Arabidopsis thaliana: one gene and its partner. The protein of the gene in region 2 interacts with the protein of the main gene of each other region in a pairwise test. Each region holds a gene or a part of one and is shown on either strand. Other genes may lie near its edges.

Evidence for each region.
Region 1: the proteins of DRIP2 (region 2) and AT4G13540 interact in a two-hybrid assay, tested with the Arabidopsis thaliana proteins (one large-scale study listed by BioGRID).

The regions. Positions count from the first base shown.
Region 1 is NC_003075.7:7,867,639-7,871,321, forward strand, and holds AT4G13540 (golgin family A protein), read left to right. Parts: upstream 1-1,681; 5' UTR 1,682-2,257; coding exon 2,258-2,621; intron 2,622-2,697; coding exon 2,698-2,966; 3' UTR 2,967-3,152; downstream 3,153-3,683. Other genes in the region: AT4G13530 (uncharacterized protein), read left to right, coding at 792-917; AT4G13550 (putative triglyceride lipase), read right to left, coding at 3,613-3,683.
Region 2 is NC_003071.7:13,023,975-13,031,216, reverse strand, and holds DRIP2 (DREB2A-interacting protein 2), read right to left. Parts: upstream 5,307-7,242; 5' UTR 4,774-5,306; coding exon 4,656-4,773; intron 3,237-4,655; coding exon 3,137-3,236; intron 2,713-3,136; coding exon 2,385-2,712; intron 2,240-2,384; coding exon 1,827-2,239; intron 1,722-1,826; coding exon 1,671-1,721; coding exon of another isoform or gene 1,667-1,670; exon of another isoform or gene 1,379-1,666; coding exon 1,306-1,378; intron 1,034-1,305; coding exon 854-1,033; 3' UTR 556-853; downstream 1-555. UniProt on the Arabidopsis thaliana protein: E3 ubiquitin-protein ligase that acts as a negative regulator of the response to water stress. Mediates ubiquitination and subsequent proteasomal degradation of the drought-induced transcriptional activator DREB2A. Functionally redundant with DRIP1.

The sequences.
Region 1 (3,683 bases), on a different chromosome or scaffold from region 2:
AATTGTTGTTTTGATGGGGAAAATGAGAAGATCAGATCATCCCCTTGTTTGTCCTGGGACCAGTTTCTTGTTGCTAAGTAGTTTAGATGCAACCAGCGACTCGAGGTCATAGTATTCACCAACAGGCATACACTCGTACCCATTTACACTATCTTGCTAAGGGTTTTTGATATAGCACCACTGCATCGGTTGAGTTCTTGATAGATACTTTTGGCATAGAATGTGTAGTTGGTGAGAGCAGTGTTAATAGTCGTTAGAATACCACCTGGGTGATCTATTTCTTTGTCCGTCCTCTCTGTTGTTTCATCTCCTATAATGCTTAAACAACATATTTTTTATTTTTACATTTTGAGTTTGCATGTTCTTTCTAATAGCTAAAGGATAGTTGAAAGATCTTTAGACTAGTTTTCAGTAGTTATTCTTTGTAGATTTTTCATGTTGGTAGCCAGAGATGGAAGTTACTATATATTACGAATCTTATCGTAAAATGTTTCTTTGAGGAATGGATAAAAGTAGTGGTAAAACCTGAAAGTTTAGTTTAACTGATCTTCCACTGGTACAAAGCCTCAGTAAGGACCCAAGTTTGAATCCTGCTTACGGTTGCATATAACTTGGCGGATCAAATATGTCTTTTGCTGCTGAAATTCACGTTCTTGCTTGACTTGTATTCATCTTTTTCACTCATGGCAATGAAGAACAAAAGTTCTAAGTATTTCAGAACACAATTCGGAAGATTTTTACACCATCTGATTCTTGTATTGTCTGTCTTTTGAATGAAATACTTTTTTCAGAAGGTGGCGAATCATGCTGCTCGGTGGAACGAAGCAATCTCGGTAGTGAAACGTGTGCCCATAATCCGGCCAGCACTTCCGTCATCAGTGGGTATGAACCAGTGGTCCATGATGAGTTTAAGGTGAAAATTAAGTGAATTTGAGGGCATAATAATGCATATATGTGAGATTATATGATTTGATGTGGTTGGTGCATGTATCATATGATTGTATTAAAAATGTTACAAAAACATACAAAAAGATGCTTGTAAGTTTGTACTGTGTGTGTATATATTGTTACTTGCTTGGTGGAATACAAATTGGATCAGAATCATAGTGCAGTTTTGGAAGGTTGCGGTCAGAATCTAACCTTGATAAGCTTCTGAGCTGGTCTTAGTAGGCAGTGTCGTAAAGAGATTGTACAAAGACAAAAGCCAATAACGGAATTTTGGTTGTTTATTTAGAAAGTACGACTCTTTAAGATATGAAAAGGGTTAAGACAAAAACCCAAATTAACAGGGAAGTTCACGTGAAGAGGGCAATGTTTCTGATTGATGTAGCCATGTAGGAGTCTATCTTTCACTTTATAGCTATCCTAAACTCTACGATGTCAATTGTGATTAGATATATGTCTCTTCTTCTTGTTTCTTTGTCTTCTTTCACTCTATTATTCGTTGACCATTGTACCACCAAAGTTTGGTATACTCACTTATCATACTTAAATCACAAGTGAGTATTGTAAGGAACTAAGGATCCAAAGCTAAAGCATACTCATGAAGTTTAACTATTGACGTTTAACGGAAATAAAGCAAACCAAAATTCGAACTTCAAGATAAATCTACCCATTGTCTTCACGTAACATACTCAAATTTTGGTTTGCTATGTTTGATTCGGTCTATAAAAACACAGACAATAACTTAAGACCTATGTAACAATTTCCTCCATGAGAAGAAGACAAATTAGACCAAAAGTTTGAGAGAAACCTATAAAACCTACAAATATTGGGAAGAAAAAATAGGAGTAAATAGGTATGGGTCCATGTTAATGATGCATGTGACAAACAATCAAAGCCCACACCATTAATTGGAGATTGAAGAAAAAACACTGCTTTTCATATTCTGTAACACCACTTCAATTCCTTTTTCTCTTGTTTCCTATTCAGTACTATGTCCTGAGAGTGCCCATAACTTCTTTTGTCTTTTTATCTCAGTTTCCATAAGAAATAATCAACTCAAGCCACAATGTGTGTTTGTGTGATTAGTTTTGTGATAAGACATTCCATAATTTTCCTATTGTGTGTTTAGGATAAGTGAAGATGCTTTTGGTTTGGACCATATTATATAAATAACATGTGTCTGCAATGCCGCAAAGTGGAGCTTTCTTCACTCACAATAATCATTTTTTTTTTTCATTGAATGAAACAAACAAGACATTCAAAATAGAACAAAAGTTCTACAGAGATAGAGAGAGAAAGAGAGCTTTTCTTCATGGGTGGTTCTACAAGCAAGGATGAGAGAAACAGTAGTAAGAGACGCATCAAGGTGAAAGCAAATGAACAGAGAAGGAGAGAAACAAGAAGAGAGCTTGATGAGAAAGAGAGAGTGATTTTGGCGTTGAAGATGGCAGAGACAGAGTGGAGGAAAGAGAGGAAGAGACTGAGAGAGGAAGTGAAGAGGCTGAGACAGAAGATGGAAGAGAAGGAAGAAGGAAAGGCGAAACAACACGAGTGGGAATGGGTCGTGGAACAGATGTGTTTAGAGAGAGCAGTGAGGGAAGAAGCTGTGGAGAGGTGGAAGCAGCTCTACTTTGCTATCAAGAATGAGCTTGATGATCTCATCCACACAACATATGGTAAGACCTTTCACAAATAATCTCATCTTTGATGTTTTGAGAAAGGAAGGTAATGAGTTTTTTTTTTCTTTTGTAGGAGAGGCACTGAGACAGAAACCGCAAGAAGAAGTTGCAAAGGCAGTGCAAGAACTCAGAAAGGAAGTTAAAGCTAGGGGAGAAACCATTGAGACACTGAAAGGGAGAATAAATTTGATGGAGAAACAACAAAATGGGAAGGAAAGAGAGATTGACTTACTGAGACAGAGTCTGCGTATCCTCGGCGGTAGCAGCGGGAAGAACAAGGCACTATCATCTACTACCAGAAACCTGACAGTATTCAAAACAAAATTCATCGGGTGTAAATAACTGTTTTAGTCATTTGAAGTTACTTTTCCACAAGGATTGCTGTATAAGTAGACTCAGTAAGCTTCAAGCAATAATAAGCCATTTCTTTCCTATCTCATGACGCTAAAGAAAGTTGTATATACTTCACAAGTAACATATCCAGCATCAAGAAAATCTAATGGAAAAGAAAAACGGTGAATGATCAGGGATTAAGATTGTTGTCTCCAAATTGATCTAAGATTATGTAGAAACTTAGTACGTAAAAATAAGAACTGCGTGCAAAGGTTCCAAAACAAACGAAAGCTTAAGGATTGAGATAACTTACTTCTCCCGCAGCTGTTCTCCTGAAAAGCTCACAGATGCAAATAATGCTGAAACTAGCCAACCGAGAGGCGAGGTCCGAGGTGTAACGGTCCCTGTTAGCCAAAAATAACATTCCCTGCAAGGTCTCCCTGAGCATGCAGTGAGAGTATAATGTTCAAATTTCATCTATACGCATTGTGATAAATTCCAACCATCTTGTCCCCTTTTGATACCATGTCTACGTTTAAGTTTACACGACTGAACCACAGATCACTATAAAATAATTACAATGGATGCTTGTCTCTTGTATATAGTATACAGTGTGAATCCTATACAGCTGAAGCGAGCCACTACATGCTCTCACTTAGCTCTCTCCCACTGATTGGATAGTAGTACTTTCAACGCCTTTCGGATCTTCAACAGTTTTGTAATATA
Region 2 (7,242 bases):
AATCAATCATGTACAAGAAAATTGGTGATGAACGAGTTATATGTTATTTTCAAGACAGTAAGAGAAACATTGTTACGTCAAGTAGTCAAGTACGTTTGTTCTAGTATCGTATGTTGTGGGGGAATTAGCCTTGTCGAATCTAATTCACATATTATTTTTGTGGAAATTTGACTAATGGATAGTTTATCCGTCCATAAAACAATGACCCAAAATCCAAATTTGGTTGAAGTAAATCTCTATAAATACCACGTGAATTTAACTATGTTTTGTGTGCAAATTTTTTTATTTCCCAACAGTTTAGAAATATCTAGAAACAAATGCAAAAAGACAACCAAATTTCTTCAAAATTATGTTTTAAAAAAAGAAATAAGAAAATTCATCTTTAATTTTGCATTTTGTATTAAAAATTGTTAGAAAACTTTTTTTTTTGGTGAACAAAATTGTTAGAAAACTTTTATACATCTCTCTTTAATTCTTGTATTAAAGGTACACTTCACAAGTTTTTTTTTGGTTATTTTTCTTTTGACTTCTCAATAATGGCTAAGTCATTCGATTCACAAGGATTCCGTGTACTTCTCCATTTAGTCCAAACAAGGAAACAAATATTTATAGAAATGACAACATTATCCTAATCATACATTCAAATATCCAAAAAGGACACAATCTCCTTTAAAAAGCCATTTTTGAATCTTCTTGGATAAACAAACAAAGTGTCTGTCTCACACCAATGTTTCAAATTTTAAGATTACAATTAAATAAATATAAATTGCTAAGTTTCTTTCTACACAAGACATTCCACTGCTCCTGCACTTTTCTTTCTTCTCGGTCTAGAAAAGATTCAATGAATAGCTCTTTAGTTGTTGCATTCAGGGAGCTTCCGAGAATAAACTAGCACCATTACAAATTCCTTTGCAGATGAACCTATTGACGCAGCGACTCTTTGATGCTTAGAAGTTGTTTCCAACCATAGGTCTACTAAGCTGTGAAGCTGCAACGTTGGGATCACTGGTTCTCCCATACATGTTATCTCTACCTGTTTACAAAAAAAAAACATAGAGTAGTTAAGGTTCAACACCGGTGGGTCGAAAAAGTCCCAGATCATAAGATATCACCCGGTACACAAGTCGGAAATAAAAGGGAGAGTTAACTTTAGTTTAAACATTTATGGGGACCTTACAGTCATATTGATAAGCACAAGACTTGAACCAATGTATAGAACTACGGTCTATGTGATTCCATATTAGACCGAGTGGATACCTCATATAAAACAGAAAAGTAGCCACTGCATAAGATAAGATTGCTTACCTCATCTTCACTCTTGAGATCAAGCTTCCTCATGAGGTACTTTTGGATAAAAGAAACTGGAATATTTCCATCCCTACCATATAATGAGACAGGGGATCAACTCTGGCACAATATAATTCTCCCAAACAAGAAAATAGACACCTCCCAGTCAAGGATTAGGTGTGATGGGCCAAAAAAGAAGAAGGCTTTATCAAGAAACGTATACCACAGAAAACAAACATGACATGGAAACTCGGGTAAAACAACTGCGAAATCGAATTCAAAGCCATCAATGCAATAATAAGTAATATTTGATCACAGACTTCACAGTTGACATATAAAAACTTAGTGACAAGAAACAGAGCAAAGCAAAAAGAACAACTTACCTTATTCTCAAGTAGTTTGCTGGAATCTGAGGCAATGATGCTTCTCCTTCCCTGAAACCAGTAAAGCCGTGTCACTAAGAGATAGAAATGAAAAGACACAGAAAATATTGAATATCAGAAGTACTCAGAGTCTCAGATACAGAACAGGAATCTCACTGATTACTTGACGCTACAAGTGAGAACCAAACATGACCGTTTCTCCTCTCCTGTTTTAGGCTTGCTGCACCTGGTAACAGTGGAATTCTAGAATCACCAAAAGTAGATGACCTTTTGCGACGAGTCCGACGCGTTCGTTTAAGTGTAGCAGTTTCTGATGTTGTAGGATCACCGTTATTGCTGATCTCTTCCTCGAGTTTACACTTTCTTTTATGATCCTTTGTTTTGGTTTTACTCCCCTGAACATCATTGTGGGATGCGTTTCCAAGCTCAGATTTTGGGTCCTTTGTTCCGTTTGCCACATCCACAAGAAAATTTAGAGGTTTCCAAAGATGTAATTTGGAATCCCATGGTTCATCAACATCCTTGTTTCTTCGATTAGAGAGGGACTGGTTAGGATTTGCATATGAAGACTGCAAAAAAAGAATTAATAAATAAATAAATGTATGGGGAACTATATAAAGACCATAATCAGTCATAACGTTGTGTTTGGACTTGGTAAAGAGAAAAAGTAAAACATAAAGGTAAAGAGAGAACTGCAATGATCACCTTCTTTACCTGTCTTTTATTCTGAGTAAACTTTTTAAGTGTTTCAGGCGAGCTTGCGCTCTCTACATGATCATCTCCAAATTCTTCTTCCTTCTTCACTGTTCTCTTAGTGAATGAACCACTACCTCTTACATCTTTTCTCGTAGCAGCTTTTGTTCTTTTTCCTGTTGTACCAGCTTGTGCTGAAACCCTGGGTGTGCTTACCACCAAAGACGAGATAGACCTCTCCTTCCTCTTTGCAGGTAATGAGATGGAGGACACAACTTCAGGCGCTCTCTCCTTTTTACGTTTTAGAGGAAATAATTTGGCTCTCAAGTCTTGCAAAATGTGGTCAGGCCTAAAATAAATACATAAGAGTGGTTCTTTAGAAAATGAATAAGTTCGCCACCAACAAAGCTCTTACTGGTGACCAACTAGTAAGAGAGAGTGTAGTACTAAAGAGATTTGTTTCAGGTTCTAACAAAAAATTGTTGGTGTCAGCGAAAGTATTAAACTAGCCAACATATTCAGGTCATAACTGCTTCTGAATCGAAATGACTTTTCTTGATTAACTTCACACTATGCCACAAAAATTACGGAAGAACCTTCCATATGTGGCACACCTCAGCATAATCATGTACAACTTTTCAGCATTATGTAAGAAAACTTCGTTTCATCAACAGTAAGAGCCAAAAGGCTTCTAACAGTCTATACAAGGAATCACTGCTAAACCAAGACCGAGGAGAAAATTGTGTAAGGAATAAAGAAGAAGAAGAACTTACCTTAGTTTCTCCAGTGGGGTACCCCCGAGGTCAATATCGCATACTGGACAGCTCTCTATCTCATCCTCTGTGATTTTCTCATAAATGCATTTCCTACAAACTGCATAAAAGTGATATAAGAACTTGTTTCATTTCAATAGATAGTAACTATCAAGTAAGAACAAAATCTTTTGTAATAAAGGCGACCAACTTACATAAAAACAAACAATTTCTCAGATCAAAAGTTTAAGTAAAGAATGAATAGCATAATGTTTGAGGTTCAATGCAAGTTGGCTCGCTGCCAAGTTTGAATTTATTAGATGCAAGTTAGATTATCGGACTCCTTCCACCAAATCCATTATAGCAAGGCCGATAATTGGTATGGTCTCTACTGCATCAAGTTATATTAGTTGTCATGGCAGAAGCTTGTAGACAAGTGGTTAATGAGCATCATACTGTTTGGTTTTAAAATCAAGAAAATCCATAGCTACCAACCTAAACAAAAGAGATGGAATCACAAATTTGATGGGGATACTGCATTCATCCCCAGAAACAAAACCGTGAAGCATTTAACACCTAATTTTGGCACTGCAGTAACTCAAAAAGAGATTCTGCAGGGCGTTCTGAAAATTTTATTAAATTGAGATAAGCAGTTGGTCAGTTGTACAACGGAACCGAACTGTTAACATTTACCTTTTTAAAATCAGATGGAATGAGTAAAATAATTACAGAGTAACAAGGTATATTTCTCCGTAAACGGTAACAAAGAATTGGTTGTGTAAAGCTTGGAATGGTAGATTGATTTAGACTCCAAAAGGAATATAAACTAAATTTGAATAAATTACAGAGATCAGCAAATACTTCAACATGCAGAAAACTCACTACTAATCTGGATTGTATGTTAAAAGAAATAAATTAAGCCATTCCAAACAGAAAATGATCTAAACTGTCTTAATTGTATAATATCATGTAGAAGAAAGAGGCTGATAAATGCTACTTAATCCAAATATTAACTTACATTAAACCGATGAGAGTAGATTAAAGCACTTGTTACTCGAACTTCCTAACACAAAACTTACAAGTTGGATATAACAAAGCAACTGAATCTAACTAACAACATGATTAGCCAAAACCAAATTTGGACGTCATGAGTTTGACCAAACCATCTTTGACGAAGAAGAAGACACTCACAAATTTTACCTAAAGAGACGAATAAAGGAGGATTCTTGCAGTCTAAATGTAAACAAAGATTACAAATTCTGCTCAACAACAACTATTACTTTAGTTGAGAAAACCAAACAAAACTATTCATTGACTCGAGTTTCATCAAATCGACTGAGACATAGAGGAGATCATAAGTGGCATACGAGACTAACAACAAGAATCATGCAGATATTCAATCCAAATCAGCAAGAGGAAGAAAAAAAAAACACAACAGAGAACCAATCAAAGAAGACGATAAAGACGAGAAATTGCGAAAATTAGAAACCGGGTAAAATCGAATCGAAACGTAAATCGAGAAGGGGAAAGAGGAACTAACACGTGTGAAGACACTCTGAAATGGTAGTGGCGTCACGGAGGAGTTTGTCACAGAGAGGACAAGTCATGCATGCCACCACCGTTTCTCTCTTCACTTTAGCCACCATGTCTCCTTCCATTGCTCTCTTAACGACTCCTTTAAATCCTTGATGTCTATCTAAACGAGGATTGATCGATGAATCGCACGTACTATCCCCAAAACTGCATGTAGAAGAAAAACAACGACCCACCAAAAAAAAGAACCCAGATTTACGTTAAACAACAACTCTCGTGCGAGATACCTACATTCAAATCCAAATCCGATGGAGACTCAAGACCGAATATATCCGTAAAGGGTCGAAGAAAATCAGAGTGAAAGAAGTCTCAATCGGAAGAAATAGAGTGATGAAGAAGAGTCGACGAGGTTGAAGAAGGGAGAATCTGGGGATAAAAATGGAGAGAGATTCGAAGGAATAGGGTGAGTATAAAACAGAGGAGGAGACGATCTGAATCGAGGAAGAAGGTGAAGGTGAAGAAGAAGAAGGAAGGGGTCTCTCTAATAAAGAGGCAAGAGGGGTCTTCGTGTTGAGGAGAAAGAAGAGAAGCGAGCGATACCGTAAAGAGTAAAAGACGTTCCTTTCTTTACTCTGTTTTTATTTATTTCCCAATTGTGTAAATGGGCTTTTCCGAGGCGAAACAATGGTTTAGGGCTGCAAAGTCCACCACCGATTTAACCCTCTCTCCTTTTTTACTGATATTGCGTGATTTTAATCTTTTTATTTTTGTTTATTGACATCATTAGGAAAATTACTTGGAAATAAACAAGATGAAGAGGTGAGTCAATTAATTAATAAAACTTAAGAAATGAAGAATTAAAAAATGAAGAGGAGGAATCAATTACACTTGACAGAGAGTATGCTTCTCAATGATTGAATTTTTGGTTCTAAATATATATGTACAAAAGGGAATTACGAGAAAATAGCATCAAAGTAACCGGAAACAATCATAAATATTATAACTGTTAATAAAAATTAAAACCCTTTAAATAAATAAAATTTGAAAATAAAATATTTATATATATATATATATTGTTTATTATTTCTTTTTAAAATTAACGAGTTTAAAGATGTCTATATTTAACTCAATAATTTTTCGTTAATGAACTCTAATAAATAAGTAAAATCTATATGTCCATATGTTATCTCAAGTAAATTTTATCTAATTTATAACTTGGATGTCAAATTCATAATGGATATTTTGAAACATTTTTCCGAAAAGTTGTAAAAATGGCATAAGCTGAAAAAATCGAATACATCTTATCACTTCGCGATCAATTGGAAGGTCACATATCTCTCGCAAGAGCCAACAGTTTTTATGAAAGATCGACAAGTAGATAATTTAATAGTCCATAAAACTTCTAAAATTCAAAGCTAGCTGAAGTAAAAGTGTAAAACCTTATTAATACCTCAATATTGCTTCCTTTTGCAATTATAATTTAACTGTTTCTAAATGTAGAAAAGCATGTACTAACAAACACTACACTGATTCCAATACTAAATATTGGTAAATTGTTAAATCTTTTTGAGTATATACTTTTCTTATATATCAATCTAACATTTTAGTATCCAAAATTAGTATGAAATTTTAATGGTTCTTGCTAATAAATTTTATTTGTTAGGCAAAAATGAATCACAACATAATACATGTTTAGTTAATAGGTATGTATCGAGTTTCTACTTTATGAATCAAAATAATTCACATCATCACTAAGCGACAAAAGAATTTACATATTTCGTCACAGTATGCAAGACGAATCGTACGTTACTTTTAAAACAGTAGAAATACATTTTTATGCCAACTCGTCAAGTACGTTTGTTATAGTAACGTATGTTAGAAGAACTAACCGTTTTTATTTTATTTTAGGAATTATCCGTATTGAATCTAATTTATGCGTTATTCGGTAAAAAAACGACAAGTAGATAATTTATTCGTCCATAAAACAATGACTATTTTTTTTTTGTAAATAACATTCAACACCCCATAATAGAGAGATCAATCAAATATAAACTCATCCAGGGGTTAAAAATTTCAATTCCCAAATTCGACCTCAAACATTCCAGTTGTTCCTCCAAACTCCAAAGTACAAAGCTGTGAATTTCCCACTCTTGAAAATCATTGACAGTACATTCTATCAACGTGTCAAAACATCTATGGTGGCTTGGGAGAATTTCCACTAAGCCAATCAAAAGAAGTCAAATCTTAGTAAACTAGTAATTTTGCTAGCACATGTACACCGCGCCGCACTATATCTGTATCTCAACATTAATCCTCTCCGTATAAAAATCAAATAAATACATTGATTTATAAATATTAAAAAATCTGAGTTAAGCGAAAAAAAATAAAAGAGCAGAAGTCTCTAAACATGCACGAGGAAGCTCTGAATCTCCAGATATGAAATCGTAGAAACAGACTCTCGCATTTATCGAATCCTATTGCAGAAGAATCTGAAAACCCTAATCTGCTCATCGTTTTCTTCAATTGCTTGTTGAAGAAGCAGAGAATCTCCGAGATCTGTGTTCTTCCCTCTGGGAATGTGCTTCTTCTTCTTC